4 linked regions of the Saccharomyces cerevisiae S288C genome follow. The protein of the gene in region 1 interacts with the protein of each later gene in a biochemical or structural test. Each region holds a gene or a part of one and is shown on either strand. Other genes may lie near its edges.

What was found.
Region 2: the proteins of CMD1 (region 1) and PUS2 form a complex in vitro, tested with the Saccharomyces cerevisiae proteins (one study listed by BioGRID).
Region 3: the proteins of CMD1 (region 1) and ZRT3 form a complex in vitro, tested with the Saccharomyces cerevisiae proteins (one study listed by BioGRID).
Region 4: the proteins of CMD1 (region 1) and ASR1 form a complex in vitro, tested with the Saccharomyces cerevisiae proteins (one study listed by BioGRID).

The regions. Positions count from the first base shown.
Region 1 is NC_001134.8:454,464-460,197, forward strand, and holds CMD1 (calmodulin), read right to left. Parts: upstream 3,900-5,734; coding exon 3,456-3,899; downstream 1-3,455. Other genes in the region: IML3 (Iml3p), read right to left, coding at 1-67; AIM3 (Aim3p), read left to right, coding at 359-3,202; ALG1 (chitobiosyldiphosphodolichol beta-1,4 mannosyltransferase), read left to right, coding at 4,409-5,734.
Region 2 is NC_001139.9:379,580-388,343, reverse strand, and holds PUS2 (pseudouridine synthase PUS2), read right to left. Parts: upstream 4,691-8,764; coding exon 3,578-4,690; downstream 1-3,577. Other genes in the region: PYC1 (pyruvate carboxylase 1), read right to left, coding at 1-3,148; MRH4 (ATP-dependent RNA helicase), read left to right, coding at 5,136-6,821; ALG2 (GDP-Man:Man(1)GlcNAc(2)-PP-dolichol alpha-1,3-mannosyltransferase), read left to right, coding at 7,073-8,584; deubiquitination module subunit SGF73, read right to left, coding at 8,762-8,764. UniProt on the Saccharomyces cerevisiae protein: Mitochondrial-specific pseudouridine synthase catalyzing the formation of pseudouridine at positions 27 and 28 in the anticodon stem and loop of mitochondrial transfer RNAs.
Region 3 is NC_001143.9:114,505-123,695, forward strand, and holds ZRT3 (Zn(2+) transporter ZRT3), read left to right. Parts: upstream 1-4,288; coding exon 4,289-5,800; downstream 5,801-9,191. Other genes in the region: STE3 (Ste3p), read right to left, coding at 1-123; LST4 (Lst4p), read right to left, coding at 996-3,482; TPO5 (Tpo5p), read right to left, coding at 5,876-7,732; U5 snRNP GTPase SNU114, read left to right, coding at 8,013-9,191. UniProt on the Saccharomyces cerevisiae protein: Transports zinc from storage in the vacuole to the cytoplasm.
Region 4 is NC_001148.4:715,778-722,135, reverse strand, and holds ASR1 (ubiquitin-protein ligase ASR1), read left to right. Parts: upstream 1-1,711; coding exon 1,712-2,578; downstream 2,579-6,358. Other genes in the region: Arf family guanine nucleotide exchange factor SYT1, read left to right, coding at 1-1,099; U2 snRNP complex subunit RDS3, read right to left, coding at 1,176-1,499; NVJ2 (Nvj2p), read left to right, coding at 3,668-5,980; YPR089W (uncharacterized protein), read right to left, coding at 6,195-6,358.

The sequences.
Region 1 (5,734 bases):
ACTTTGCTATACCATTTTCCAGTGAAAGTTGCTTGCTGATTCCTAAAAACTTCCAAGTATAAGGCATTCCATCCAAAGGAAGTACGTTGATACCTATAGACAATCAAATCAACCATGCAGTCGACCAGATCATCCCACTATGGTTGTTGTCTATTTCATATCGGTGTCGGCATTTTTTTTTCCCGTAGTACCACTGGATCTGCCTAAATCGCGCTTCAGGAAAACCAGGGACCACCCTATTTTTTTATATTTCATCATCTAAATTAAGTGTATACATATATGGATAAAGTCATTTTGAGTTTACATAATCGTATGTTCGAGAGAGGTCTTTCATAAAAAAATCAAGTTATCAACCAGCATGGGATTTTGGGAGAACAACAAAGATTCCATCACTTCAGGGCTGAAGAGCGCCGGTAAATATGGTTACCAAGGAACAAAGTACGTTGCCAAGACAGGGTATAAGGCAAGTAAGAAGCACTATAACAACAGCAAAGCGCGTAGGGAAAGGAAGAGTGGTAAGAAAAATTCAAGTGATGAGGAGTATGATAGCGAAGATGAGATGGAGTACGAAAGAAAGCCGACCGATATAAGAAGTTTAAAAGACCCAAAGTCCTTTCCTCCCCCACCTTTGAAACCTGGACAAAAAACTTATACAGGACAACAGCAACAGCAAATGCCAAATGGTCAGGCCAGTTATGCTTTTCAGGGTGCATACCAAGGCCAACCTGGCGCAGGATCGACGGAACAGTCACAATACGCACAACCACAGTATAATCAGTATCCACAACAGCAGCTGCAACAAGGTGTAATGCCACAGCAACAGCAGCTGCAACAAGGTGTAGTGCCACAGCAGCCGCCTATATATGGAGAGCAAGTACCACCGTATGGGTCAAATTCTAATGCAACCAGCTACCAGTCGCTGCCGCAACAAAATCAACCCCAAAATGCAATTCCAAGTCAGGTATCTCTGAACTCTGCTTCTCAGCAAAGCACAGGGTTTGTCTCGCAAAATCTGCAATATGGTACCCAATCAAGTAATCCGGCACCATCACCGTCTTTCCAGAACGGTCTTCAGTGTCATCAGCAGCCGCAATACGTATCACATGGCTCAACCAATCTCGGACAATCCCAATTTCCATCGGGCCAACAGCAGCAGCCCACGACACAGTTTGGCCAGCAAGTTTTACCATCACCTGCACAACCACAACAGCAACAACAAGGGCAACCATTACCGCCCCCGCGCGGTCAAGTGATCTTGCCAGCGCCCGGAGAGCCTCTGTCAAATGGCTTTGGGCAACAGCAACAGCAACAGCAACAGCAACAGCAGCCTCTGAACCAAAACAACGCTTTGTTGCCACAAATGAACGTGGAAGGAGTTTCTGGGATGGCTGCGGTTCAGCCTGTCTATGGCCAAGCCATGTCAAGTACTACAAACATGCAAGATTCGAACCCCAGCTATGGAGCTTCACCCATGCAAGGTCAGCCTCCAGTCGGTGGACAACCGCCTGTGCCTGTAAGAATGCAGCCACAGCCACCGCAACCAATGCAACAGGGAAACATCTATCCGATTGAGCCTTCTCTTGATTCTACTGGCTCAACCCCACATTTTGAAGTTACTCCATTTGACCCAGACGCACCTGCTCCGAAGCCCAAAATCGATATTCCCACTGTAGACGTTAGTAGCCTTCCACCACCTCCCACTCATAGGGATAGAGGAGCAGTTGTACACCAGGAACCTGCGCCAAGTGGGAAAATACAGCCTAACACAACCTCTTCGGCGGCTTCATTGCCAGCAAAGCATTCAAGAACTACTACTGCAGACAATGAAAGGAACTCTGGAAACAAAGAAAACGATGAAAGTACCTCCAAGTCGTCCATTTTAGGACATTATGATGTAGATGTCAACATCATGCCACCTCCAAAACCTTTCAGACATGGACTTGATTCTGTACCTTCTGAGCACACCACGAAGAACGCACCAGAACGGGCAGTGCCAATTCTACCTCCTCGGAACAATGTTGAGCCTCCTCCTCCCCCATCACGAGGCAATTTTGAGAGGACAGAGTCGGTGCTGTCAACGAATGCCGCTAATGTACAGGAGGATCCCATTTCTAATTTTTTACCTCCACCGAAGCCATTTAGACATACTGAAACTAAACAAAATCAGAATAGTAAAGCATCACCTGTAGAAATGAAGGGTGAAGTTTTGCCAGGGCACCCCTCTGAGGAAGATAGAAACGTTGAACCATCGTTGGTACCTCAATCGAAACCGCAATCGCAATCTCAATTCAGAAGAGCTCATATGGAGACACAGCCTATTCAAAACTTCCAGCCACCACCAAAACCATTTAGGCGTTCACAATCGTCCAATTCTAGTGATAGTTCTTATACTATCGACGGACCTGAGGCAAATCATGGGCGTGGGCGTGGGCGTATAGCTAAGCACCATGATGGTGATGAATACAACCCCAAGAGTGAGAATTCTACAGAAAACGGTCGTTTGGGTGATGCCCCCAACAGCTTTATTAGAAAAAGAGCGCCAACCCCTCCGGCCCCATCCAGATCTGAGAAGTTACATGAGGGTACTATAACATCCGAAGTTGATAGTTCAAAAGATGCTAATAAATATGAAAAGTCAATACCTCCTGTAACTTCGTCTATTCAAGCGCAACAGTCTACGAAGAAGGCGCCTCCTCCTGTTGTAAAGCCAAAACCTAGAAATTTTTCTTTAAAGGCCAATGAATATCCCAAGGAACTTACTAGGGAAGCAACTGGACAAGATGAAGTTTTAAACTCCATTACCAATGAGTTGTCGCATATCAAATTAAGAAAAACAAACGTTAATTTGGAAAAGTTAGGCGGTTCGAAAAAAGTGAAGGACTCTAGCCCTGTTCCCTCAGATCTAGATGAAAAATATGTGTCTGCATCGGGGTCTATTACTCCACCAAGGCCTCCACCTTCTAGGTCTAGTCCAAAGAAAGTGCCGCCTGTTGTCCCAAAAAAGAATGATAACCTGAAGAAAAAGCCACCAGTGGTCCCAAAGAAAAAGCCATTACTAAAATCGCTCGAACCAAGACCTATTGAAATGGAGAGGGCCTATTCGGGAGATATTTCTGCTGCTGACGATAACTTAAATCCTTTTGAAAGATACAAACGAAATGTTGTTCCTCAAGAAGATGACAGACTGCATAAATTAAAATAATGAAATAGCTACGCAACATTGAACTTAATACTGGCTAAATTTAGTTATCCGCCTTGGTAAACAATCCGTATCCTTTATTTAAACTGTCTTCTCAGGAACATTACTTATCTACATAAATAACATTAACCCTGTCTACGTACAGTATATATTTGCGTGTGGTTGTCAAACTTTAGATGAAACGATACTCAACGAATACTATAAAACCAGAATGGTAAGGGTAAGATAGCGGGAGCAAAAAATCACAAGGATGCACCTATTTAGATAACAAAGCAGCGAATTGTTGAATGTTGATCTCGCCTGATCCATCACTAACCTCTCTTAGCATATCATCTACTTCGGCATCAGTCAATTTTTCACCAATGGATGTTAGCACGTGTTTCAACTCAGCGGCGGAGATTAAACCATCACCGTTCTTATCGAATACTTTAAAAGCTTCTAGTAGTTCTTGTTCAGAGTCATTTGATTTGAGTTGACGAGACATCAGAGCCAAAAATTCACTAAATTCGATTTGATGGTTACCATCAACATCTATTTCGTTCATCAAATCATTTACTTCTGCTTCACTGGGCGAAAGACCCAATGACCTCATCACAGTGGCCAATTCACTTGATGAGATAGAGCCATTGTTATCTTTATCAAAGAGGGCAAAGGCTTCTTTGAATTCAGCAATTTGTTCTTCGGTAAGATTGGAGGACATTGTACTTTTTTATTTGTATTAACTAAGCTCTTTCTTTGTAGTTCGATAGTTTCCGGTCAAGAATAAGATTTCTATCCAGTCAGAGTACCCTTGTGAGTTAACAAGATCTCTTGTTAAACACCTTCTTACGCGGGCAATAAAAAATTCTAAGAATAAAGTCATATCACAGTACACGAAAATATAAATACATCTTGAAAATGTCTCAAATTGGGTGGAAAAGAGGGTGCTTGAATTCATTAGGACATATGGTTGATGTTCTCAGGTTCTACTTATGTTTGCTTTGTCGATTTTTGCATGCTTTGACTGTGACTTTCCTGTCTGATATCTTTGTATGGCTTGTTGCTAAAACAAGGTCAATCCAAGCAGTGATCATCTTGCACGTTGCTTCAATAGAACGCGCATATAGCAATCATCAAGTTAATTGGTCATATATCTTTCAATCAGCAATTAGCAAAGCCATTAGAGGGTAATTGTAACGGCATTTTAGGGGCTATAGTCAATTGGTGAAAATGTTTTTGGAAATTCCTCGGTGGTTACTTGCCTTAATAATATTATACCTTTCCATACCGTTAGTGGTTTATTATGTTATACCCTACTTGTTTTATGGCAACAAGTCGACCAAAAAAAGGATCATCATATTTGTGCTGGGTGATGTAGGACACTCTCCAAGGATATGCTATCACGCTATAAGTTTCAGTAAGTTAGGTTGGCAAGTCGAGCTATGCGGTTATGTGGAGGACACTCTACCCAAAATTATTTCCAGTGATCCAAATATCACCGTCCATCATATGTCAAACTTGAAAAGAAAGGGAGGCGGAACATCAGTTATATTTATGGTAAAGAAGGTGCTTTTTCAAGTTTTAAGTATTTTCAAATTACTTTGGGAATTGAGAGGAAGCGATTACATACTAGTTCAAAATCCACCGAGCATACCCATTCTTCCGATTGCTGTGCTATACAAGTTGACCGGTTGTAAACTAATTATTGATTGGCACAATCTAGCATATTCGATATTGCAACTAAAATTTAAAGGAAACTTTTACCATCCTTTAGTGTTGATATCTTACATGGTAGAGATGATATTCAGCAAATTTGCTGATTATAACTTGACTGTTACTGAAGCAATGAGGAAATATTTAATTCAAAGCTTTCACTTGAATCCAAAGAGATGTGCTGTTCTCTACGACCGCCCGGCTTCCCAATTTCAACCTTTGGCAGGTGACATTTCTCGTCAAAAAGCCCTAACTACCAAAGCCTTTATAAAGAATTATATTCGCGATGATTTTGATACAGAAAAAGGCGATAAAATTATTGTGACTTCAACATCATTCACCCCTGATGAAGATATTGGTATTTTATTAGGTGCCCTAAAGATTTACGAAAACTCTTATGTCAAATTTGATTCAAGTTTGCCTAAGATCTTGTGTTTTATAACGGGTAAAGGACCACTAAAGGAGAAATATATGAAGCAAGTAGAAGAATATGACTGGAAGCGCTGTCAAATCGAATTTGTGTGGTTGTCAGCAGAGGATTACCCAAAGTTATTACAATTATGCGATTACGGAGTTTCCCTGCATACTTCAAGTTCAGGGTTGGACCTGCCAATGAAAATTTTAGATATGTTTGGCTCAGGTCTTCCTGTTATTGCAATGAACTATCCAGTGCTTGACGAATTAGTACAACACAATGTAAATGGGTTAAAATTTGTTGATAGAAGGGAGCTTCATGAATCTCTGATTTTTGCTATGAAAGATGCTGATTTATACCAAAAATTGAAGAAAAATGTAACGCAGGAAGCTGAGAACAGATGGCAATCAAATTGGGAACGAACAATG
Region 2 (8,764 bases), on another chromosome or scaffold:
TAATTAGCGTTTTACCTTGTTCGATTACAACTTCAATTTCTTCGTCAGTCTCTAGTGGAGACAAAAAGCTTCTTGTTGGCAATACAGATAAATCACCATACGTTTCTCTCATCTTTTGGAAGTCTTCATAAACTCTTGGGTACATGTTATAAGAAGCAACGTCGCACTCATCAACATCACCAAATCTATTCTGCAAGTCTTCTCTAATTTTTTCGAGATCAAATGGCTCTAGTTCCAGGCCTGGACGACAAGTCAACTTTCTTCTCTTGTTCCTTAAAACGTCTGATCTAAATGGTTCTGGGAACCCACCATATGGTTGGCCGATTAAGCCTTCGAAGAAATCCATAACAGAGTCAGGGAAATCCAAAGAATTAGCCAGGCGTCTCACATCATCGGAAGTTAATTTATTGGAGACCATAAATTGTGCCAGATCACCAACGACCTTCGAAGTTGGGGTAACTTTGACAATATCACCCAATAAATAATTGGCTTCTCTGTAAGCTCTTTTTGTTTCGGCCCATTGTTCTCCAAGACCCAATTGTTGGGCTTGAAACAACAAGTTTGTCAATTGACCACCTGGGATTTCATGTTGATAAACTTCTGGATCTGGGCCCTTCAAGTCAGCCTCGAAACAAGAGTATAACAATCTCATCTCTGCCCAATATGCATCTAGTTCACGGACATGCTCAACGTTAATACCAGTGTCAATATTACCTTCTAATGAAGCCAACAGAGCATTGATTGATGGTTGTGAAGTTAAACCAGACATTGAGTTGATGGCAACATCAACGACATCGGCGCCCGCCAGAGCACACGCAGTCATTGATGCAACAGCAGTACCTGCAGAATCGTGAGTGTGAACATGTATTGGGAGATCAGGGTACTTAGCCCTCAAAGATCCAATCAGTAGTTTGGCAGCTGCTGGCTTCATGGTACCTGCCATATCTTTGATACCCAGGATATGAGTGCCCATTTGGACAATTTTTTCAGCAATTTCCAAGTAGTAATCCAAATTGTATTTCTTGCCTGGCTGAAGCATATCCCCAGAGAAACAAACAGTGGCTTCTACAACACCACCTGCCTTCTTCACAGCATCTACACCGACCTTCAATTGTTCCAAGTCATTTAAGGCATCAAAGACTCTAAATATATCAACACCATTATCCTTGGCTTGCTTGACGAAATGGTCAATAGCATTGTCAGGCAATGAAGAATAAGCCACACCATTGGCACCACGCAATAACATTTGGAATGGAATATTAGGCACCAGAGATCTTAATTTTCTCAAACGTTCCCATGGATCCTCATGCAAAAATCTCATTGCAACATCGAATGTGGCACCACCCCAACATTCTAAGGCGAAACGACCTGCAAGGGCATGTGCGGTTGTTGGAGCGATTGTAGCCAAATCGTGGGTTCTGACTCTTGTTGCAAGTAGAGATTGATGAGCGTCTCTCCAGGTGGTGTCCATCAATAAAGTACCATTGAACTGTCTAACTTGTCTGGCAAATTCAGCTGGCCCCTTTTCTAGTAGCACTTGCCTCCATCCGGATGGTGGTGCAGACTTTGTAACGTTGATGACATTGCCCTGAGCATCGTGCAAATGGGGGACACTTGGATTTGATTTTAATTTTGGCAAGCCAATTTGACCCTTGATAGATGAACCATTGACTGCCACGTCGGCGAGGTAATGTAAAAGTTTTTGGGCTCTGTTTTGTGATGAAACCATTTGGAACAGTTGTGGGGTGTCGTCAATAAAAGTCGTCCAGTATGTACCCTCAATAAATACTGGATTGGTCAAAAGAGTCAATAGGAAGGGAATGTTGGTCTTGACACCTCTAATTCTGAACTCGATTAATGCACGAATCATTTTTCTACGAACGATTTCGTAGGTGGAACCGGAGCATGAGCATTTGACCAGCATTGAGTCGTAATGAGGTGAGATTATTGTTCCTGCATAGGCGTTACCACCATCCAGTCTAACACCATTACCACCTGCAGAACGGTACACTTCTATTCTACCGGTATCTGGTTGGAAGTTCTTAGCAGGGTCTTCCGTGGTAATACGGCACTGAATGGCAAAGCCACGAGTCGTAATTTTGTCCTGGAATAGGCCCAGCTGGGGTAGAGAGGCACCTGCCGCAATTTGGATCTGAGCCGCCACAATATCTATACCGGTAATTTCTTCTGTGATGGTATGTTCCACTTGGATTCTTGGATTAATTTCAATGAAATAGTGTCTATTTTGGTTATCAACCAAGAATTCAGCAGTACCCGCATTTCTGTAGCCACACTCTTTGGCCAATTTAACTGCATCTGTCAAAATGGCGTCACGGACTTCACGGGGTAAAGTCTTTGCTGGGGCCACTTCGACAACCTTTTGGTGTCTTCTCTGCACGGAACAGTCTCTTTCGAAAAGATGAACCACGTTTCCGTGGTTATCGGCCAACAATTGAACTTCAATATGCTTTGGCTTGTCCAAGAATCTTTCCACAAAGCAGGTACCATTACCGAAGGCAGTACGGGCTTCGGAGGTAGCACGTTGAAAGGCATCTGCCACGTCGTCACCTTCTCTAACGACTCTCATACCTCTACCACCACCACCAAAGGCGGCCTTAATGATCACCGGGTAGCCGTATTCATTGACGAAGTCAAGTGCTTCCTCTACAGTTTCTATAGGACCTGGTGTACCAGGAACGGTGGGCACATTAGCTTTTGCTGCCAGGTTTCTAGCTGAGACCTTATCACCCACGGAGTCAATAACTTCAGCTGGAGGGCCAATCCAAGTGATACCGGCCTTCACTACTTTGTCGGCAAATTCCGAATTTTCAGACAAGAACCCATAACCTGGATGGATGAAATCTACCTGGTGTTTTTGGGCAATGGAAATGATTTCGTCAATGGCCAAATAAGCGCCGACGGGGGTATATTGGCCTACTTCACCTATGACGTATGCTTCGTCAGCCTTTTGTTTGTGCGTTGAAAGACGATCTTCATGAGAATATATAGCTACCGTCTGCATAGACAGTTCATGAGCGGTACGAAAAATTCTGATTGGAATTTCTCCTCTATTAGCCACCAATATTTTGTTCTTTTCACCCAAGAGATTGAAGTTATCTCTCAAGCCGGCGAATTTTCTTTGCGACATTGTCTAAGAGGAAGGGGAGAGGCTGAGATTTTCCTTTTGTTATCTTCTTTTCGTTTATCTACATACTCAAGACCTCCTTGTATCTATCGAACTAGGCGATTACATATATACTTATATACAGCGAGACTCACTTACCGAGCATGACCCATTCCATTGAGATTAAGGTCGAGGACATGATTGCTATCGCGGCGAAACTTTCGCCACCTAAAACCAACCATATGCGACAGCCCACTAGCTTTCTCCCCACGTCAACTACGCACTGCGGAAAAGGCCAAAATGTCCCGAATGATGCGGGATGACGACACGCATGCCGGTGGAGCGGTCATGACCAAATTTGTGCGCGCAACTGGCGCTTGTCTAAGTTGAATAGCCAATAAGATGAGAGTATTGCCCGCCCAATGTCGCGGGTCAACCCGCGACATTGGGCGGCTAGATTAGAGGCGTGGCCAGGCGGTTCATTTGTCGTACAAAATGGCAAAACACGTGACGCTGTGTCTCCTCGTGTGCGATCGCAGTACAGATCTGGCGTTCTCGGAAACGGCACATGCGCTCAAGAGTGATATCGTCCGGGCGGATTTCGCAATACAGCAAATTGCGCAACTTAGTGTTATACCCGTCAAACACAGGTCCCTCTAATAATAGGCCTTGTGCGGGCGCCCTCGGAATGTATTTCCTAGGCCCGGCGTTAAAATAGTTACGTACAATATTAGGCGGCAATTGGCAACGGGCTGCAAGTACGGCAAGCGCTACCATTCGTCGAATCTGATGCAACATAAACGACTGCCCGTGGATCCGCACACATATCCATCCCGGTGAGGCCTGCGACACTACAACCTTTTTGATATGGCGCTGAGCACTAGGATCCCCCCAAAGCTTTCCTGTGGTAAAGTTGTGAAAATTATGCGTTCCCACGTACTCCTGCATGGCTGCCTCAAACGCGTCCAGCTTCGAGGGCGACAAGCAGTAGCCGCTAAGGGTACCGCTCAATAGCCCCACGTAGTCTTGTACCAAAGGATCGCTCTCGCTTAGTTTCTGTGCAGTGTCCTGCAAACGGCACAGCTCATCCCCGCTAAATCTCCCACGCGTCTGTTCCAGGAACGTATCCCACACCTCTTGCGAGCCGTCTTCGCGGTAGCATCCCCCCACGTTTCGATGCAAAAGAGAACTCCGGGGTGGACCAATGAGTATAAATTCTGGGATAAGGTATTGGTACCATCGAGAATCGCACGCGGATCTAGCATTAAACTTTTTATTGACAGGCTGGATACCCCACACGCGTATTTCGGGCGGTAGTGCGGCGTTTAACTTCGCTACTGTGTCCTCTCGCAATGTGATCTTTAGCGACAGTAGATTCAACATAGCGTGTACACCCTTGTCTGTTCTTGCCGCTGCCATAAAGGAATTTTTCTTCGGTGCCAATGAATTTTCTTCGGAAATGGCTCCTACGTCGAAGAGCTTGGTGAGAATCTCACCTTCAATCGTCTTGTGTGGTGGGTTGTATTGCATTCCATAGTATCCGCTGCCACAGTAACCTAAGAGCATAACGACCTTATGTTTACTCGGCCTTCTCTTTACTACCGCTGTTAACGGTGTCGGAGTAACCTCATCACTAGTACTACTACCATTTGTACTGAGCAGAACTGTTAATAAATGCTATGTTCACATCGATATATATACATATGTGTGTAAGGGGCTACAATTCATACATACGAGTATCTCTTTATTCTCTGGCCTGTAAATATTTGTCTTAAAACAGAGCTAGTCTTTAATGCCGTCTTTTTCATTTTCTTTTCTCGATGGGTTCTATTTCGCAATACAACCGCTCTTGCACAGCACAACCAAACCATATTCTTGAAATTTTCGAAAGGAAGCAAAAGTTCAAATCACTTACCACGGAATCATAAATTACAACTATAATAATAGCGGAATAGATATTAGTGATGAGTAGAAATACTTCTTCAGATCAGATTAAAGTATAATAAGACAAATGTCGCTTTTTTTCAAGCCAGTAATTTCACCACAGTGGTCTTTCCCCGTGCTTCTCAAGATAGGAGTGCGTTCTTATGCGGGAGGCCCAAGAACAAAGCATAAAGGAAACTCTCCATTAGCTTCAGTGCCTACAGGCAGTAGTAATAAAAACCGAAAACAGAAGGCCAAAGGCAAAAAAGGTAACAAAAAGAATGACCCTGACCAAGCATTCAACTTTGGAGAGTATGGTGGATTGAAAAAAGACGTCGAGATGAATATGGACAGTACGAATAAACTCATTCAAAAAATATCGAATTTCGACCAATTGCTTATACTTCCACCTGTCAGAGACGCTGTGAAAGAAATCATTTCCAAAGAGTCCCTGAAGCTACAAGATAGTAGGAAAAAAACCAGTGAAAATATAATACCGAGTCCCATTCAAACAGTGGCCATTAAGAGAATATCCAAAAATTTAATGGATCCAAAGTTACAAATACATGCGATTGCCGCTGAGACAGGTTCAGGTAAGACCATGGCCTACTTGATACCTTTAATAGACTATTTGAAAAGACAGGAGTTGGAAACTCCCGAATTATGGGAAACATTAAGAAAAAACGTTCTGATTCGGTCCATCATACTGGTGCCTACGCATGAATTGGTTGACCAAGTATACGAAACTGTTTCCAAGACGAAAACCTTGTTAGGCTTAAACTCTTTCAAGTGGGACAAGGCCACATCATATCGTGATTTATTAGAGAACATTAAAAATAGAATAGATATTTTAGTCACTACTCCGGGAAAACTACTGAACCTGTTCTCCATAAGAATGATAACTAGACCTGATAAAGTCTTGTCCAAAGTGGGTTTCGTAGTACTAGATGAAGCTGACACACTTCTAGATAGGTCATGGCTTGAAGAAACGCACTCCGCAATAAAGAGAATTCCTAACATTAATCACCTTATTTTCTGTTCCGCTACTATTCCTCAAGAGTTTAATAAAACAATGCAAAGACTATTTCCTACAGTGGTTCCTATAATGACACCCAGACTGCATAAGTTACCATTCGCTTTGGACTTTAAAGTTATAAATTCTGCCTTAAGTCCTTTCAAGGGATCCAAGATCAAAGCATTGGCACAAACTTTATATGCTATTTCAAATGATGACACGGAACCAGGGTTCGAGAAAAGATGCATTATCTTTGTTAACGAAAAAAAGAATGTTCCTGAAATTGTTAACCTATTGAATAAGAAATTCGGTCATAATGCCATCGGTTTAACTGGTGAAGATACATTTGAAGAAAGATCCGAGAAAATTATGCCCTTTTTATCACCACCGCGACCACTTTCGGAGGTGGTTGCTCAGAGTACTTCACCTCCCACTTCCTTGAAGAAATTTGAAATTCCTGATTCCAACATCGTCATCGGCAAATTGAAAAACACAAATTCTAATGGTACCGCACCCAGTAACAAGTCTTTGCATGTACTCGTAACCACCGACCTCATGGCAAGAGGGCTCAATTTCAAAGGTGTACGGAATGTTGTTCTCTACGATGTACCCAAAACGTCAATAGACCTGATACACCGAGTGGGCAGAACTGCTAGAATGAAACAGGGCGGCCGCGTATTTATGCTAACTGACAGTAAAACAAAATCTTGGGCTAAAGCTCTTCCAAAGATCATCAAAAAGCACCAGAGATTATCATGATAAATGTATATTCTTGTAAATATTATAACATATATACGAAAGGGTCACAATCACAGATACAATTTATAGATCGAGAGCCTTGCGTATAGCTTCTTTTTTTATAAACAAGTGCCTGGCTAGATGAACGCGCGAACAACAAAATAAATGATGTATTCATTTTAACATCAAAAGATTACGTTCGCCATTTAAGAAGTCACGAAATAGATACAGTAGTAAAGACAGATAAAAAAGAGTCGATTAGACAAGCAAAAATGATTGAAAAGGATAAAAGAACGATTGCTTTTATTCATCCAGACCTAGGTATTGGGGGCGCTGAAAGGTTAGTCGTCGATGCAGCATTAGGTCTACAGCAACAAGGACATAGTGTAATCATCTATACTAGTCACTGTGATAAATCACATTGTTTCGAAGAAGTTAAAAACGGCCAATTAAAAGTCGAAGTTTATGGTGATTTTTTACCGACAAACTTTTTGGGTCGTTTTTTTATTGTTTTCGCAACAATTAGACAGCTTTATTTAGTTATTCAATTGATCCTACAGAAAAAAGTGAATGCGTACCAATTAATTATCATTGATCAACTGTCTACATGTATTCCGCTTCTGCATATCTTTAGTTCTGCCACTTTGATGTTTTATTGTCATTTCCCCGACCAATTATTGGCTCAAAGAGCTGGGCTATTGAAGAAAATATACAGACTACCATTTGACTTAATAGAACAGTTTTCCGTGAGTGCTGCCGATACTGTTGTGGTAAATTCAAATTTCACTAAGAATACGTTCCACCAAACGTTCAAGTATTTATCCAATGATCCAGACGTCATTTATCCATGCGTGGATTTATCAACAATCGAAATTGAAGATATTGACAAGAAATTTTTCAAAACAGTGTTTAACGAAGGCGATAGATTTTACCTAAGTATAAATCGTTTTGAGAAAAAAAAGGATGTTGCGCTGGCTATAAAGGCTTTTGCGTTATCTGAAGATCAAATCAATGACAACGTTAAGTTAGTTATTTGCGGTGGTTATGACGAGAGGGTTGCAGAAAATGTGGAGTACTTGAAGGAACTACAGTCTCTGGCCGATGAATACGAATTATCCCATACAACCATATACTACCAAGAAATAAAGCGCGTCTCCGATTTAGAGTCATTCAAAACCAATAATAGTAAAATTATATTTTTAACTTCCATTTCATCATCTCTGAAAGAATTACTGCTCGAAAGAACCGAAATGTTATTGTATACACCAGCATATGAGCACTTTGGTATTGTTCCTTTAGAAGCCATGAAATTAGGTAAGCCTGTACTAGCAGTAAACAATGGAGGTCCTTTGGAGACTATCAAATCTTACGTTGCTGGTGAAAATGAAAGTTCTGCCACTGGGTGGCTAAAACCTGCCGTCCCTATTCAATGGGCTACTGCAATTGATGAAAGCAGAAAGATCTTGCAGAACGGTTCTGTGAACTTTGAGAGGAATGGCCCGCTAAGAGTCAAGAAATACTTTTCTAGGGAAGCAATGACTCAGTCATTTGAAGAAAACGTCGAGAAAGTCATATGGAAAGAAAAAAAGTATTATCCTTGGGAAATATTCGGTATTTCATTCTCTAATTTTATTTTGCATATGGCATTTATAAAAATTCTACCCAATAATCCATGGCCCTTCCTATTTATGGCCACTTTTATGGTATTATATTTTAAGAACTACTTATGGGGAATTTACTGGGCATTTGTATTCGCTCTCTCCTACCCTTATGAAGAAATATAATGTCTACTTAAATAAATAATGTATACCCCCCGAAGAAAAAATAATTTACATTGGAGAAGAAATCTCTAAATGCAAATAGCGTAACTTGTCCACAAACATAGACGTGTACATGTTACTTCGGCGAATAATTTTTTATTACTCACTTCGTGAACATGCTGGATAACGTGCATGATTCAATTA
Region 3 (9,191 bases), on another chromosome or scaffold:
AAGAAGCCATGTTATCAAAATGATTGCTGGAATATTCTTGGTATGTGAATGCCATGCTAAAGGGGGAGCTAATAGTATCACAGCTAGCAAACAAAGCCCTATTATTGCTGACTTGTATGACATGAAAATTTTGATAGTATTTTGCCTTTCCTACACAAATTTAATTGCCTCTAAAGTTAAAAAGCAATAAAATAGAATATGTGAATACTGCACAAAATGAATACTTGGGAATTCAGAAATTATTCTTACCTTAAGCATCCACTCATATACATATATATATATATATATGTCTTTTCAAAAGACTTCTGCCCAAATTGTGGAGAGAACTCTGCCTCTCCGTGATAACGGCCAAATGAAACGCATCCAATGATGCAATTATTGACAAAGTTTCAAAGTTTCCGCCATTATTCCTTCATTTACACATTGATAGTCGAGAAGTTTCCTAATTAGTGTCACAATGACAGAGAAAATTGTACCAGCGCTTCTAACGAAAATTAGCACCCATACCCAGAGTTCATAAATCTGGCAATGTGGTACAATAATATAGGATTGGTAACATTTCAATTGTAAAATGTTTAACGTTTAGAGAAAAGGGGAGCCAGAACGCTTCTGGTGGTGTAAATACGGAGAAGTCACCTTAAATAGTTTTGTTCTGATAATTGCATTTTTTTGGAAAGATTTGGCTGCTTAAAAGATTCAAGCAATCAAGAGAAACATTACAAGGCCTGCTTGGCCGGTCTACTAGGCTGAAATAATAAGTTTCTGATTATGGTTATCACGGTAAATGATTACGAAAGGGTAAAGCAACGAATGGTTGTTTTATGGTAAGAATACTTTGGCGAATCAACAAATTGAAGTTGCGCAATGTGCGATTCGCTTATGTATCAAAAAAAACTAAAAAATGAATAGAGAAAATCATATATATAAAAGAAAAAAATATCGTACACCTCTTAGGTAACTTGGAATATATTAAACATGTAAAGAAGGAGAAAACATTAACCTGCATTACAATAATGAACAAGAGATGAAAAAATCCGTAAAGCTTCTGAATCGCGAAGCTCACTATCTATTCCATTATCATCATATAACATCATTGCACTCTTTATACTATTTTCAACAAAATTAACGCAGTTTTCCAAACTAGTACTTAGCTTGCCAATCTTGCCACAGGAAAAGATTTTTCTGGTCTTCTGTTTCAACACGTACTTCCTTTTTCCGACAAAATTCTCATCATAGATATTCTGGTTGCTGTTATTGTTGTTATTGCCAGTAAACTCTCTTTTCAATGCGACATCCCTAATGTCCCTTGAACGTAACGATACTAATAGACTTCTTGTGTAATCCGCCTTTAACAGGTCAATCTTCATAGAATTTGTTATTCTGCTCTCTGATTCTTGACCAGCAGGACATGCTTGCAACTGGAAAAAATTGTTAAAATGGGTTAAATACATTGTATATTTCGGCAATAGTTCCAGAGGTTTATTCATCAAGCCATCATCAATATCAGAATCAGTAGTCAAAATATCCGCATAAGAAGAGTTACCTGGAAAAATTTCGTAAGTGGAATTAAGGTCAGCCAAAGAGGGCTGACATATTCTTTCAAAAGCCTCATCCAAAAGATCATCCTGAGAGATCCTTTGGCAATCTCTTTTCAACTCAACGTTCTTTAGTGGAAATTTATATGATATATTCTTAACCAATGGGGGTGCGTGAGACACATCTCCAACATTAGGAGAGCCAGGTGTGCCCATCCAAGGATACTCATCATATTCGCTGATAGACGGTGATTGTTGCGGAGTGGTTAGTGATAACCTGGAGGTTGCTTGCTGCAAAGAAGACGAACTTGAAGTCCTTTGCATATTTCCAGCAGTTGTTTGCAGCCTCTCCCACGACTCGTTGTGTTTTAAAGAAGGGCTTGGTTGAAAGAACTGAGAAATTGTTGGCCTTTTGTTGAACCAAGAACCGTACGAACCAGGTTGGCTTGAGATAGAAGACGATAGATAATGCAATGAACTACTCCCACTTTTGAAGGAAGATGGCTGAATAACTTCCGCTAAAGACTCACTAGAAGACACAGATACTGAAGTGTTCGAGTTCCTCCGATTGGGTATTTGCCATCCTTTCCTCAAAGAATGGAAATTGGGTGATCCAATGCTGTTAGAGCTCACATTACTGTTGTTGTAATTATGATTGCTATTATTTTCTGTGCGACTCAAAAGGTTGTCTGTTGAAGTCAGTGTGCTCAATTCCGTCTCAGGCTTATCGACAAAATTATTGTTAGACTTATTTCTTGATACAGCGGACGAATCCGATCTTATGTTTTCCCGCCGTATCGTTATTTGTCCCTTGTACTTTGGCTCCAATAAAGCCGATAAGATGAACAGTAACTTGTTAGCAACCACCATGTTTCCTGACAGGATTACGATCTTGGATGTCTTTAGTTCTCTTATAGTGTGCCTGTAATCAGATATAATCATTGCCATTAGGAGAGGAAGGAAGCCTAGTTTCGGTCCATCTTTGATTTCAATCCAATTAAATATACTTTTGAACCAAACGTGAACGAATTCTTTAAATGTCTCAGGGTAAAGGAAAAGCCTAGGAATCTCAGACATAGAACGTAAACCTGGTATGACTCTTTTTTGTAAAGTTTGCACCATTATTTCAATTTCCTTGGGATAATGCGTCCTGATGTCAATATTTGACAATTTTATGACTGAATTATTGCTGTAATTGCCAGTATTTTCTTGCATAATACGGTTTTTAGTCAAGAAACCAATGAGCATTTTTTGAGTCTGGGTCAACCATGATGAAATGGAAGACCACGACTCTGCAACTACGGGCAACAATATCCTCGGTATGCATAAGCTAATTGCGATGCGGTTGTATTGGTGTGTGTAATAGAAAATTCTAGTTATGAGTACCAAATCCGAGTTAGGAATCGTCCTTATCTTGTCGCACTGCGTCAAATCGGAAGATCTTACGGGAGAACCAAATATATATTCCTTCAATTCACTCGGCCGTATCTGCTCCATCGAATTTGAAATCTTTGACGTAGTGTAATCGAAGATATCACGGTAGTTGTTCCTACACGCCATTTGACCCGCTTCCTCAATGATCAAAATCCTGAATGCATACGTTTTTTCGTTAATAGACGTGATTTTATCAGTACCAAGACCTCCGTTGTTTTGTAACGTATCGATAGGACGACTATAAGGAATATCCCTCGAGCCGAAAAGCTTCAGTTTTAAGTCATCCGATATATGATCTAAAATGGGCGGAGAAGTCGTTGATAGCATTTCCGAAGGCTTTTCCACATTGACTGCAGTATCTAAAAGAGCTCCAGCAGCGGTCTTAGTAGTTCCTGTGCTTGCCGCTTTGCAGTATACAGGGACATTGGGAACTACGGAGGAAAAATCGGAATGCTCTGAGCTCTTCTCAAAACCAGACGAACTCGTCTTATTTCTCAGTAAATTACCCAACATATAAACTCTCCCTCTTCACCTTCTCTACAAGGCCACACACAAGACAGTTTTAACAGGCAAATGGTACTGGAGGCTCTCACCAATGGGGTTTAAGACGCTCCAAACACACGCTCTCCTTTTTTTCTTTATATATCGGTAGCAACGAAAGCTAGTCGCAGAACGTTACACACTAAAGCAGATCAATCAATCAATCCTGAGAACCTGCTTCGTTCAAACCATCCACTAGAAGAAACACGCACGTGTACCCAAAAATAGAGACAAACAAACAGACAAAAATAACAATGATTCCTACCGACTAAAGTAAAACAACACTCACGTAATAAAAAATCCTAGATACAACTCACTTGTATTCCTCTCTTCTTTGACCATCACTAAAGCTTCTCTCTTACTATATTCCTCAAATAAAAAAAAGTTGCAATGATTACTTACCAATGTGCCATAAACTCCGTGCACCACACTAGCCTTCGATTTGACACATCTCTAAGCTGAAACTGAGAATACTGTTGTAAAACAGGTATTGGCTGCTTCATAGTACACCCAATTGCCCACAACCCAAGTTAATCATAAGCTCTTGTTGTCGATGAATTGCTCAAAATGTGGCCATTCTTTCAATTTTGCACCTCTAAAACTGCTCCGTGGGTTGTGACAACAACCTTAAGGGTAATGGACTTTTTTAGAAAGACAAATGAGATGATTTCACCTACTGGTATATCATTTATTTATACACGACCGTTTTGACATTTCAGAGTTGCACGTTGGTATATCCTAATATTCTCACAAGCATCACAGTGAAGAAACGCAAGAAAATGGAAAAAATTCCCAGGTGGTTGTTGTTTTCTCTTATATCGTCGGTGCTGTGCATACTTGGGGCCCTGTGTGTGCCGTTGTTATCGGTTGCCTTCGATAGCAAGCGCAATAGCCAATCTAAGTTGGTCAACTATGGTCTTTCTCTAAGTGCCGGATCTATGATCACTACTTCACTATACATGCTATTGCCTCGGATCGAAAAATCAAACCGGTTCAAGGTTTTTCCTGGATTGCTTTTGGGTATTTGCCTCAGTTTTTTCTTAAACTACCTAGTCCACGCTTTCGCCAGCGAATCGTTGGTACACTGTGCTGATAGCGGTGACCATGCTACAGGTTCACATATACACTCCAAATCACATTCGCATTCGCACTCACACTCACATGCGGATTCGCATTCGAATTTTAGCAACGATCATGATTTAGAAAATGCTCCCTCTGAGCATGGTTATGCAACATCTTCTTCCAGTGTTTCTGAAAATGACCCGTTGATTACAAAGGATAGCGATAGACCCCAAATGAAAAAGAAAATGTCCCTAATTGACTTATTAACCAGAAGGAAATCAGAAGGCGAGTGTTGTGACCTAAACAAGTGCACTCCGCTCTTGCAATCAGAGCAGCCAGAATATATTGCATGTGTCCCACCAGTGATAAAGTCTTCTCAAAGTGAAAGAAACGTGCCACATGGATGCGAGGGATCAGAAGATAATGGACAATCCGATGACAAGGATCATCGTGGCCTTGTATGCGTGGAAAATAATATCGGTTACGATCTTGAAAACCTATCGTTGTACCGTAAGAATTTTCTTTCGAGCCGCCATCATCATTCCTCTGAATCGCCCGAAAATTATGGTTCCAACCAGTTGTCGCACTCTTTTTCGTCACCTTTGGGAAATGATGTAACTGAGAATCCGGCCGCATTGGCAGACACACAATACCATCCCGAAAATGGTTCATTATACCCCCACCATCATCACTTAGAGACCCCTTTTTCCAAATTACTGTCTATTGGTATGCAAACTTGTCTAGTCCTTGCATTACACAAATTTCCCGAAGGGTTTATTATTTTTTACACTAACAGGTCAGATTCGTCAAAGTCCTTGGGATTTTCCATTTTTTTAAGTTTGACGATCCATAATTTTGTCGAAGGATTTGCAATGACGTTACCATTCTACACTGTTTTCGAATCTAAATGGGTTGCCATTTTGATTACTGCCGTTCTCGGTGGTGGATCTCAACCATTAGGTGCATTGATAGGTTATTTCATCTTTAAAGGTAGTACTCCAAGGGATCACGAACCCAACATGGATTTTTTACTGAGCGTTACTGCAGGGTTCCTATTAGTAATTGGTTTACAAATGTTCCAAACTGGTATCGGATTTAGCGATGGACATCATCATCATCAAGGAGAAGGTGATGAAGAAATGAAACAGTCCCATAGCTCAGGCACAACTTGCTTGAAATGGTGCTGCACTGGCGTTTTGCTAATTCTAGCGAGTGCCCTTTTCACTTGATAAATTAAAACTACGTATATTCTTTCTATATAAGTCTTTTCCCATTAAATAACGGTGTATAATCACGATCATATATCATATATCATATCTACGATCATCGGCAAGATCAAATTCTTGTTCTGCTGTATGGTGCTCATCACCATAATCGGTTATCACGTTTTCCTCATTTTCCTCAAAGGGATTTTCTGTACTACTTTTAGGATGCACCTTGATGAAACCTTCTTCAGAATTATTTTCTACAGACTCTTTCACTGTGGTTCCCGAGTTTAGAGTATGTTCAACATTGCTATCCTCTAGTTCAAAAACAGTTTCTTCCGCATCACTGGGAATTGGAGCCTTGATGTCATCTGCCAAGGGTAATCTAAAATTATACTTCCCCCATTTGAAATAAAGACCAGTGATAACTAAAATGCAGAATACGTACACCATTAAAGCATAATTCATTGTTTTGAAAGTTACAGGCACTTGCGTTGGTAGGCAAACAGAAACCATAGATAACAAGAGCCACACAATAGAAACAATGTTGATGAACCAACCAAACTTATACCTGATTTTTACTGGCGCGCTTCGGATAGCTCTTCTTCTCGTAAACAGCACCAAGACTAACGGAATGAAAGTCGCAGAACAAAGACAGAGCACTGCAGCGCCTATAAAAGCATTAAATGCGGCCGTTGAAATCAAAGCTAGCAGACCTAAAAAGTATGATATTATCATACTCAATACAACAGAATTCTTGGGGACTTTTGACTGAGAATCCGGTTCGACGTAGGTCCATTTATCGTAGTATGGTATAGCCTGGTCACGACTAAAACTATATACCGCACGAGAAGATGTAGTAATCGAGCCAATTCCGGAAAACAGTAAGTTTCCTAAAATTAGGAGCACTAAAAAAAAAGACAAGACCACCGAATCAGTCGATTTTGTAAAAATGTTCACTATTGGTAGAACCTTATGATTGGTAAAAAGCAAATCATTATCTGGCAGGATTAACATTATTGGTATAAGAAAAATGACTCCAGAGAACGCGGATAACAATACCGCATTCGACATACCACGTGGAATATCCTTCTCAGGAACTTTGACTTCGTCAGCTAAAGCAGGTAACATACTGAAACCTTGTAACGTGAAATTAGACTGTTGGAATCCAATGATGAAGGAAAGAAATGCGCTTTTATACCCTGATAGATTATTATCAAAGTGAAATAGCGCGTACTTCAAAGATCGAAATTTACCTTTGTGGAATACTAGTAGAAGAATATCAATAAATATAATGGCATATATGATCCAATAAACACAGACTTTGTTTATTGTTTCAATAAATCTTGCAAATTTCAAATTCACGAGGCCTACAACAGTCACAACTAAGTAAAATACAATGACTGTGTAAAAAATCAAGTGTGCCTCGGATATTAGGTTGGAGTTCGTCATCAGAATCAAAGAAATGGTAAGTTGAGCGCCTGCAAAAGTAATACTGGTACTCATAGTCCAATTCCCTATGAGCATTAACCAGCCAGTGTACCACGAACATACTAATTTCAATTTCTCCGGGGCCAACATGGCACTCCCAACATGCAGTTCCATCGGAAATTTTGAAACAATCTCACCAAGAGAAAGCGACGAAAACCATATACACACTCCACTGATTAAAAAACCTAGCATTATAGTTAACGGACCACCATTAATTAGCCCAATGGCCATACTAGTGCACATTCCTAAAACGGGACTCATTAGTCCTAAACCGAGACCGACAATAGAACCTCTTGACAATAACGATTTATCCAACACCTGATCATAATTGAAATGCTCGGCCTCCTCGTTCTCTTGACTGTCATCTTCATGAACAATGGTGTGCAAGTTATCAAACAAACCATTCGGATCGAAATGAACGATATTCTCCCTTATATTATCAGCCAGTAGCGTATACTCTGGCATTTTTCATTTATTTGACTTATTTTTATTTATTTTATTGTACAATGGCAAACAAATACACGGACTGGTATGTTCTTCGTCAAATTGATGATCTGTTCTTTTGGCTTATCCTTATGGGATGATTAATGATTGTTAAAGCCTCATTGCGGAAATTTTAATGCCGGAAAGGCCTGAAAAATTTCAAAGTGGCAGAAAACAAGGCTTTGGGGCATTACTTGCCAACGGCTGACGATTGCTAGCTGCTTTTACAGAAGCGATACACAATAGCTCCTAACATAGCAAAATGGAAGGTGACGATTTATTCGATGAGTTTGGAAATTTGATCGGAGTTGATCCTTTTGACTCGGATGAAGAAGAAAGTGTGCTGGATGAGCAAGAACAATATCAAACCAATACGTTTGAGGGGAGCGGCAACAACAATGAGATTGAGAGCAGACAACTTACCTCGTTAGGAAGTAAAAAGGAACTTGGAATTTCCTTAGAGCACCCTTATGGTAAGGAAGTGGAAGTATTAATGGAAACTAAGAACACACAGTCACCACAGACTCCACTGGTAGAGCCGGTTACAGAACGAACAAAGTTGCAAGAGCATACAATTTTTACACAATTAAAAAAAAACATTCCGAAGACTAGATATAATCGAGACTATATGTTATCAATGGCTAACATTCCGGAGAGGATAATAAATGTTGGTGTCATTGGACCTCTTCACTCAGGTAAGACCTCTTTGATGGATCTCCTAGTAATCGACTCACACAAACGCATACCAGATATGTCTAAGAATGTAGAACTTGGATGGAAACCGCTAAGATACCTGGATAATTTGAAACAAGAGATTGACCGGGGTCTTTCCATTAAACTTAATGGTTCCACTCTACTCTGCACCGATTTAGAATCCAAGTCTAGAATGATAAACTTTTTGGATGCACCAGGGCATGTTAATTTTATGGATGAAACGGCAGTCGCACTTGCAGCAAGTGATTTGGTTTTAATCGTGATAGATGTTGTAGAAGGTGTTACATTTGTGGTAGAGCAATTGATAAAACAAAGTATTAAAAATAATGTAGCAATGTGTTTTGTTATAAATAAACTCGACAGATTGATTCTAGATTTAAAGTTGCCACCAATGGACGCATACTTGAAGTTAAATCATATAATTGCAAATATCAATTCCTTTACGAAGGGAAACGTGTTTTCACCAATAGACAATAACATAATATTTGCGTCTACAAAGCTGGGCTTCACATTCACTATCAAGGAATTTGTTTCTTATTATTACGCCCACTCCATACCTTCTTCTAAGATAGACGACTTTACCACAAGGCTATGGGGTAGCGTATATTACCATAAAGGTAATTTCAGGACAAAACCATTTGAAAATGTAGAGAAGTACCCGACTTTCGTTGAATTTATCCTCATCCCGCTTTATAAAATATTTTCCTACGCTTTATCTATGGAGAAA
Region 4 (6,358 bases), on another chromosome or scaffold:
TATTGTTAACTCCGCTAAAATTCATTGGAAAAAGGAATTTGCCATATTAACATCATTGGGGCTTTTGATCTGCGATAAAATGGACTGGATAAATCCACAGATGATGAAGGACCCAAAATCAGGAACTACAAACTATATAATTGATTTTAAATCAGGATTTTCTTTTGTTCCGGGAAGTACGATTGACGTGTATAACGGTTTATTTGCTGATAGGGAGCGAGATTCACTTGGGAAATCTCATTTCGCAAGTTTGGTACTTGCGTATACAGAGCATCATTCTACTGGGAGTCATACAAGCAACACAACTGCAGCAAGTAGCTCCGCCAAACACAATGAAGGAGTCTTCGAGCCATCTTCAGATGAAGAGGATAGCATAACGAATTCTACTGATGGTACGAGCAGTGTGAGTAACGGCGAGAGTGACAACGATAGTGTTTCTAGTTCAGATAATCAACTCAGTTCAAATGACAGTAATGAAGATTATCATTCCATTAAGGACGAGTATCCGATTTTCGAAGACGAAAATGCCGATTGTCTATTATACTTACATACATGTCATCGAAATTTTATCTGGAAATGTGCTAATAAGTATGAAAGGGACAACTGGATCGATTCTATCAATCTATTTTCAGCATATGACGGATGCTATGTGGAAATTGGTAGTATAGCAAACACTATTTGTAATAAGAGAAAGCTTACCATTTTGCAGAGGATGGAAAGACTTAGGTCTATAAAATCAGCCAAATGGGAGAAATTGAAAAAATTTGAAAGCACTCTGATGCTTATGGGAAAATGTGTTCCTATTAGCACAAAGACTAAGACAGATATGATAAACCGCATAAGACAGCTGGCTGTCAGAATGGACTGGTTAATCTACGAAATTAAGAGAAGCGAGCTGTTTGTAAGTATCATAAAAGAAGTGACTCGCAAGCAGGCTGAAAAGAATATCTTAGAGCATGGTAAAGGAGAAGAGGAGGGGCAAGGCAATAACGACGATAGTGATGGTATAGATGATATAGAGGAAAGCTTCTTATTCAACGAGAACAGTTTGCAAGTGTGCGTGAGCGACAGTAGTTACGACGAATATAGTAACGAATAAGGGGAAGAAAATAGTACCATGGGTTATAAATGCATGTTATTTATTTATATATTTTTACATATTCTATATGTATGTGTTATACCTTTTTCTTTTTCTCGAAATGTCTATCCAGTCTATTGCTGCCAAGGTTTAAGATCCTAGGACAGCCATCTTTATCTTTACCTAAGCGGCAGCACTCCCAACAATAGAATGCGTCATTGACTCCAACATTTAGATTACAAATTATACAATTTTTAGCTTGTTTACCAAACGAACAGTTTTCACATACTCTAACTTTCCTTTTGGGCCTTACATAAGAGTCGCAGATAGGACATTTGCCATCACATTTTTCACAAAGAAGACCTGTCTGTACACCAGGCTGCTTTAGGCACATTATTAGATCAAACTGATGGCGGGACATGTTTTTTTTGTTGGAGGCTTGTATGTGTGTGGATCTTTTTTGTATCCATCTTCATTTTCTATGTTGAATGCCTTAGTAAGTGAGAAATATGGCAAGTAATGCATATATGGAAGAACAGAAAGTGAGAAAAAAAAATAGAAAAAAAGATGCAAGGAGTTGAGCCAAGGGAGAGACCATACCCTCAGCCAAATATCCAAATATCATATAAAAAGATGGAAGAGTGTCCTATTTGTTTGGCAGATGACCAAGAGGGTGAACAATTTGGATGTTTGAACGTTTGCGGGCATAAATTCCACTTAAACTGTATAAGAGAGTGGCACAAGTATAGTATCAACTTGAAGTGCCCCATCTGCAGGGTTGAATCCACCCATTTAGAAGTTGGCGAAGGGCAACATGCACTTTCTATAAATTTGAAGATGGGGTTTATGATTAAGAATGCTATCGATTATGTGGGGGCCGAAACAACTAACGAAAGAAATGAGGACGATACAGGGGAGCAAGACCAAGAAATAGAATTTCTCAGCGAAAGGCTTAGAGGTACGCTGGTGATGGATACCATTAAGATAATTCAGTGCAGCATATGCGGAGACACAGATGTTTCTCGATTAAGCCTGTATTGCCAAGACTGCGAAGCAATATATCACGAAACATGTCTACGCGGGCTAGCTTGTGAGGTGGGCGATCGCAATACGTGGCAGGAGTGCACAGATTGTAGATCAAATGCATTGCTCGAGCTGCGCATGGGTGCTATCAGTAGCCAACTTGCTAGCTACGATTCCAGGAATTCCATGATTTTTGCTGGTGAGTTACGGGACAAGCACAGCGTCAAGACACAGCAGATGTATGAACAGATACGGAATGCCAAGCACAAAATCCAGATGCACGTGCGACGAGCACTGGACCGGTACCCACTGCCTCTGCTGCGCTTCAAGGATGCCTACAAGCACGTCAACAAGCAAGTATCCCGCAAGTTGTACCGTCTCTCTGACAACAAGTACCTGCCTGACCAGTACGATTACGACTCTTTAGCCCGAACTGGAGTGCACACAGAACTCCTAATTTACTGTCATGATGAGTAGTAATGCAATATAACATTAAAACAAGATATAAACAGTATAATACTCTAGTATGAGCCCTAAAAAAAACCCTCAGAAGCGGGTGACCCATCTCTCGTACGACGTATAAAAGCACAAGTTTGACCCATAGAATTTTTTTTTCACATCTTCCTTTGTTTGCTTCTTCGTCTTCAATAGAAAACAGTTGAACAAACTCAAATATAGCACCATTGTGAGTGCTACTGCACTACAAAGAGGCAGATTAAGCGACCAGTAGGTCCCTTGGAAGAGATAATATATGAGTTCCTTTTTTCTTTTTCCATTTTCTTTCTGTGTGACTCCCCTATGATTAAAAATTATTAATCATATACCAATTGTTCCGACTGAATAGTGGTTTAACTACATGTCGACAACCCTTTTTCGTTAAGTTTCAGCCTTGTATGAGGGGTGCCACGGAAGGGAAGAAAAGAAAGCATTTATCTTTCATTATTATCTTTTTCATGCCTGCAATGGAATTTTTAATTTTCCTTTTGATATGATGATTTGTTGTCGACCGGGCGGACATATTAGTATCTGTTAAAGGGTCGCCGTCTACTCTCATCGTTCTTTTGTGTACAAATTTTTTAAAGGAGCGATGTTGATGGCATTATGGTTCTTTAGTGGAGAATTGATGATTGGTCACAAGACATCTGATTTTTTCGGAAATTTGTTTCTTATTTCAATTTATTCCTTATCAGTTGATTTGGATGATAAAAGAGACTGTTGCGGACTAGTTTATTATGATGATTTTTTTATATTCACACTGTACTAGATTGGTCTCTTTAACGAAGGGGCTAATTGATGACTACAAAATAAAAAATAACTGATTTAATGACTCTGAAAAACTAGTTCTACAACCTAACTAATCTTGCACCCTATGTAGCCCTTTAAATAACTCTTGGTTCTCTTCCCTTTAGATCTTTCATTTTTGCACCTAATTGGTATGGCACATTTTTCAGTTTTCTCCCACTTAAGTTTTCTCCGTAAATCCCTCTTGTATAATAACCAGGAGAAAGGGTTTTGAACACATCGAAGAGCAGAACAGCAAGAGAAAAGTAGCATTAAAAGACCATAATGGCTAGCTTGAAGGTATTTCTCGCAGTTTACTTGCTTGGCGGTATCACATTTTTGCCTTTGGTCCTTTTCACCCTCTATAAAATCCATTTATTGTACAGTAACCTTAAATCGGCATCGAAGAAGGAGCTAGATCATGATACAGCAGACGAAATTGATGAGAAAACCAGACTTCTGGCTCGCGATATAGACCCAGAGTTTAAAGCACGCAAGCTAGAAGAGCAATTAGGTGTCAAAGTTTTTAACAAGGGTTGGATCACCGTCACTAAGCAATATTATTATCATTCTTCAGAAGTGGCTGTAATTTTGAAGAATTCTAATAATAATAAAGATTCAGACACTGCACTTCAAGAGCAAATCTTGCAAAGAACAGACTTGAAGAAAAAACAAAGGTTTTTTGCAGTATTAAGACATGGAAATTTGTTTTTGTATAAAGACGATTCTCAAAATGCAAATTTGGTCCATGCTATATCTTTACAAAACAGATTTATCACCATTTGGCCCCGTTTCGATGAACTGGGTAAGGAAGAATTGCCAGATGCCTCGCTTTTCACTAAGAGAACTTGTATTGCTATTTTCAAGAATGACCTCGTTTCTATAGACTCTAAAAACCATAATGTTATCCTGCCACACTTCGACCCACTTACCAGTGCTGAATCGAATAACGGTGACATCTCTACCAATGACACTACACATGAATATCAATCACAATTCCATAGCTCAAATCAGTTCTTCTTGTATTTCGATAATAACATGGACAAAGAAGATTGGTATTATCAGTTGATCAATGCCTCTAAAAACAGTAATTCCCTCTCAACTGGTTTATTGGATCCTAATGTTTCAGCTAACGCAGCTCATTTGAAGACTAAGGATATGTTACAATTGATTCAGGATATCAACTCTACTGAAAATCAGTTAACTACTAAGTGGCTGAATGCTCTTCTTGGGAGATTATTTCTTTCTCTGCAACAAACTGATACGTTGAATAAGTTTATTCATGAGAAAATCTGCAAGAAATTGAATAAAATAAAAACCCCAGGGTTCTTGGATGATTTGGTTGTTGAAAAGGTCGACGTGGGTGATAGTGCTCCATTATTCACCTCTCCTGAGTTATTAGAATTGTCTCCTGAGGGTTCGACTAAGATTGCTATCGACGTTCAATACAGGGGAAACTTGACAATTATTATTGCGACAAAGGCGAGTATTAACTTGGGATCACGTTTCAAACAAAGGGAGGTTTCTTTGCAGTTGTCCATAAAAATTAAAGAATTTTCCGGTCCACTTTTATTTTTAATCAAACCACCTCCATCTAACAGAATTTGGTATGCTTTTCGCACCGAACCTATAATGGATTTTGAAATTGAGCCCATTGTCAGTTCAAGTAAATTATCATACAACGTCGTTACTAACGCTATAAAGAGTAAGTTTGCCGAAGCCGTGAAGGAGTCCCTAGTTGTACCGTTTATGGATGATATTGTTTTTTATCCAACACCTAATGAAGTATACAGAGGTGGTATTTGGGAGGAGCAGGATCCTGAGGCAGCGGCGAGGGCTCGCACTGCTGCGGCAGCCTCAGATATGAATAATACTAGTGCTAAGGAACACTTAGAAGCACTTCAAGAGGGCGGAATGAAAACCCAGAGTCGAATCAAAAAAGCCTTAAGGCCAGAGAGAAAGAAAGAAAACCTAAAAGATCTTGTTGACGCATCTGGAGTGGCAACGAAAACTACAACCCAGACAACAGTCACAACCGCGACTAATGATGATGTTTCCAGTTCTGAAAATTCTACCAAGTCAAGGAAATACTTCAAGAATTCAATCAAGAAAATCGGTAGATGGTATAAGGATAATGTTGGTAATTCGAGTGACACCGAAGATATGGATGAAATAGATGTTCAAGATAAGAAAAATGACGATTCAGCAGATGAGAGAGAATCAGATAATCCTATCCTTACATCCAATCCAAAAATGATTTCTAATAGGAGACCAGTACCAAGAAGGCCTTCACAACCGTTAAATACACTATCTCCAAAACTAGAAGGCAGGAAGGAAAAAGACACTGAGAATTTTCCAGTTCCACCGTCGGCTTCAAATATGAATGCTTCAAAGATGTTTGCGAACAAAGAAAATAGAAAGTTTTCTGTATCCTCAAATGATTCTCAGAATTCGCTCAAAAATGGTGATCCCCATGTGAAAGCTTCAAAACTTGAAAGCTCTCAAGCTTTTGTTAAGAAGACCTCTCAGAATCGTTTTAATGACGGCTTTTTCAAGCAAGATTTAGAATTTGAAGAACAGCGAGAGCCCAAACTGTGAGTCCACGGTACTATATTAAAAATAAATAAATATCACTTGAAGCTATATGCAAAATGTTGTAACTAAATTCGTGTCAAAATATCAAGCAACTGCCCCTTTTAACTCATTATTTACATTTCTATTCTTCCATTCTTTTGAAAAGAAATAAGATGGATACATCCGTAGAATTATTATATAAAGTTCGATACAAAAGTTCACTGTTCTAACGCACAAATTACCACGGATTTTGTTCCATATCATCATTATTCGACCAAGCAGGACGTTGAGCAGTTGAAGACGGAATATTTAATTCTTTAAAATAATCATCATTACCTACATTGAACGCGTTGCTCTCGGGTTCGACTGTTTCGTTAATATCTATACTTTCCCCTACCCCTT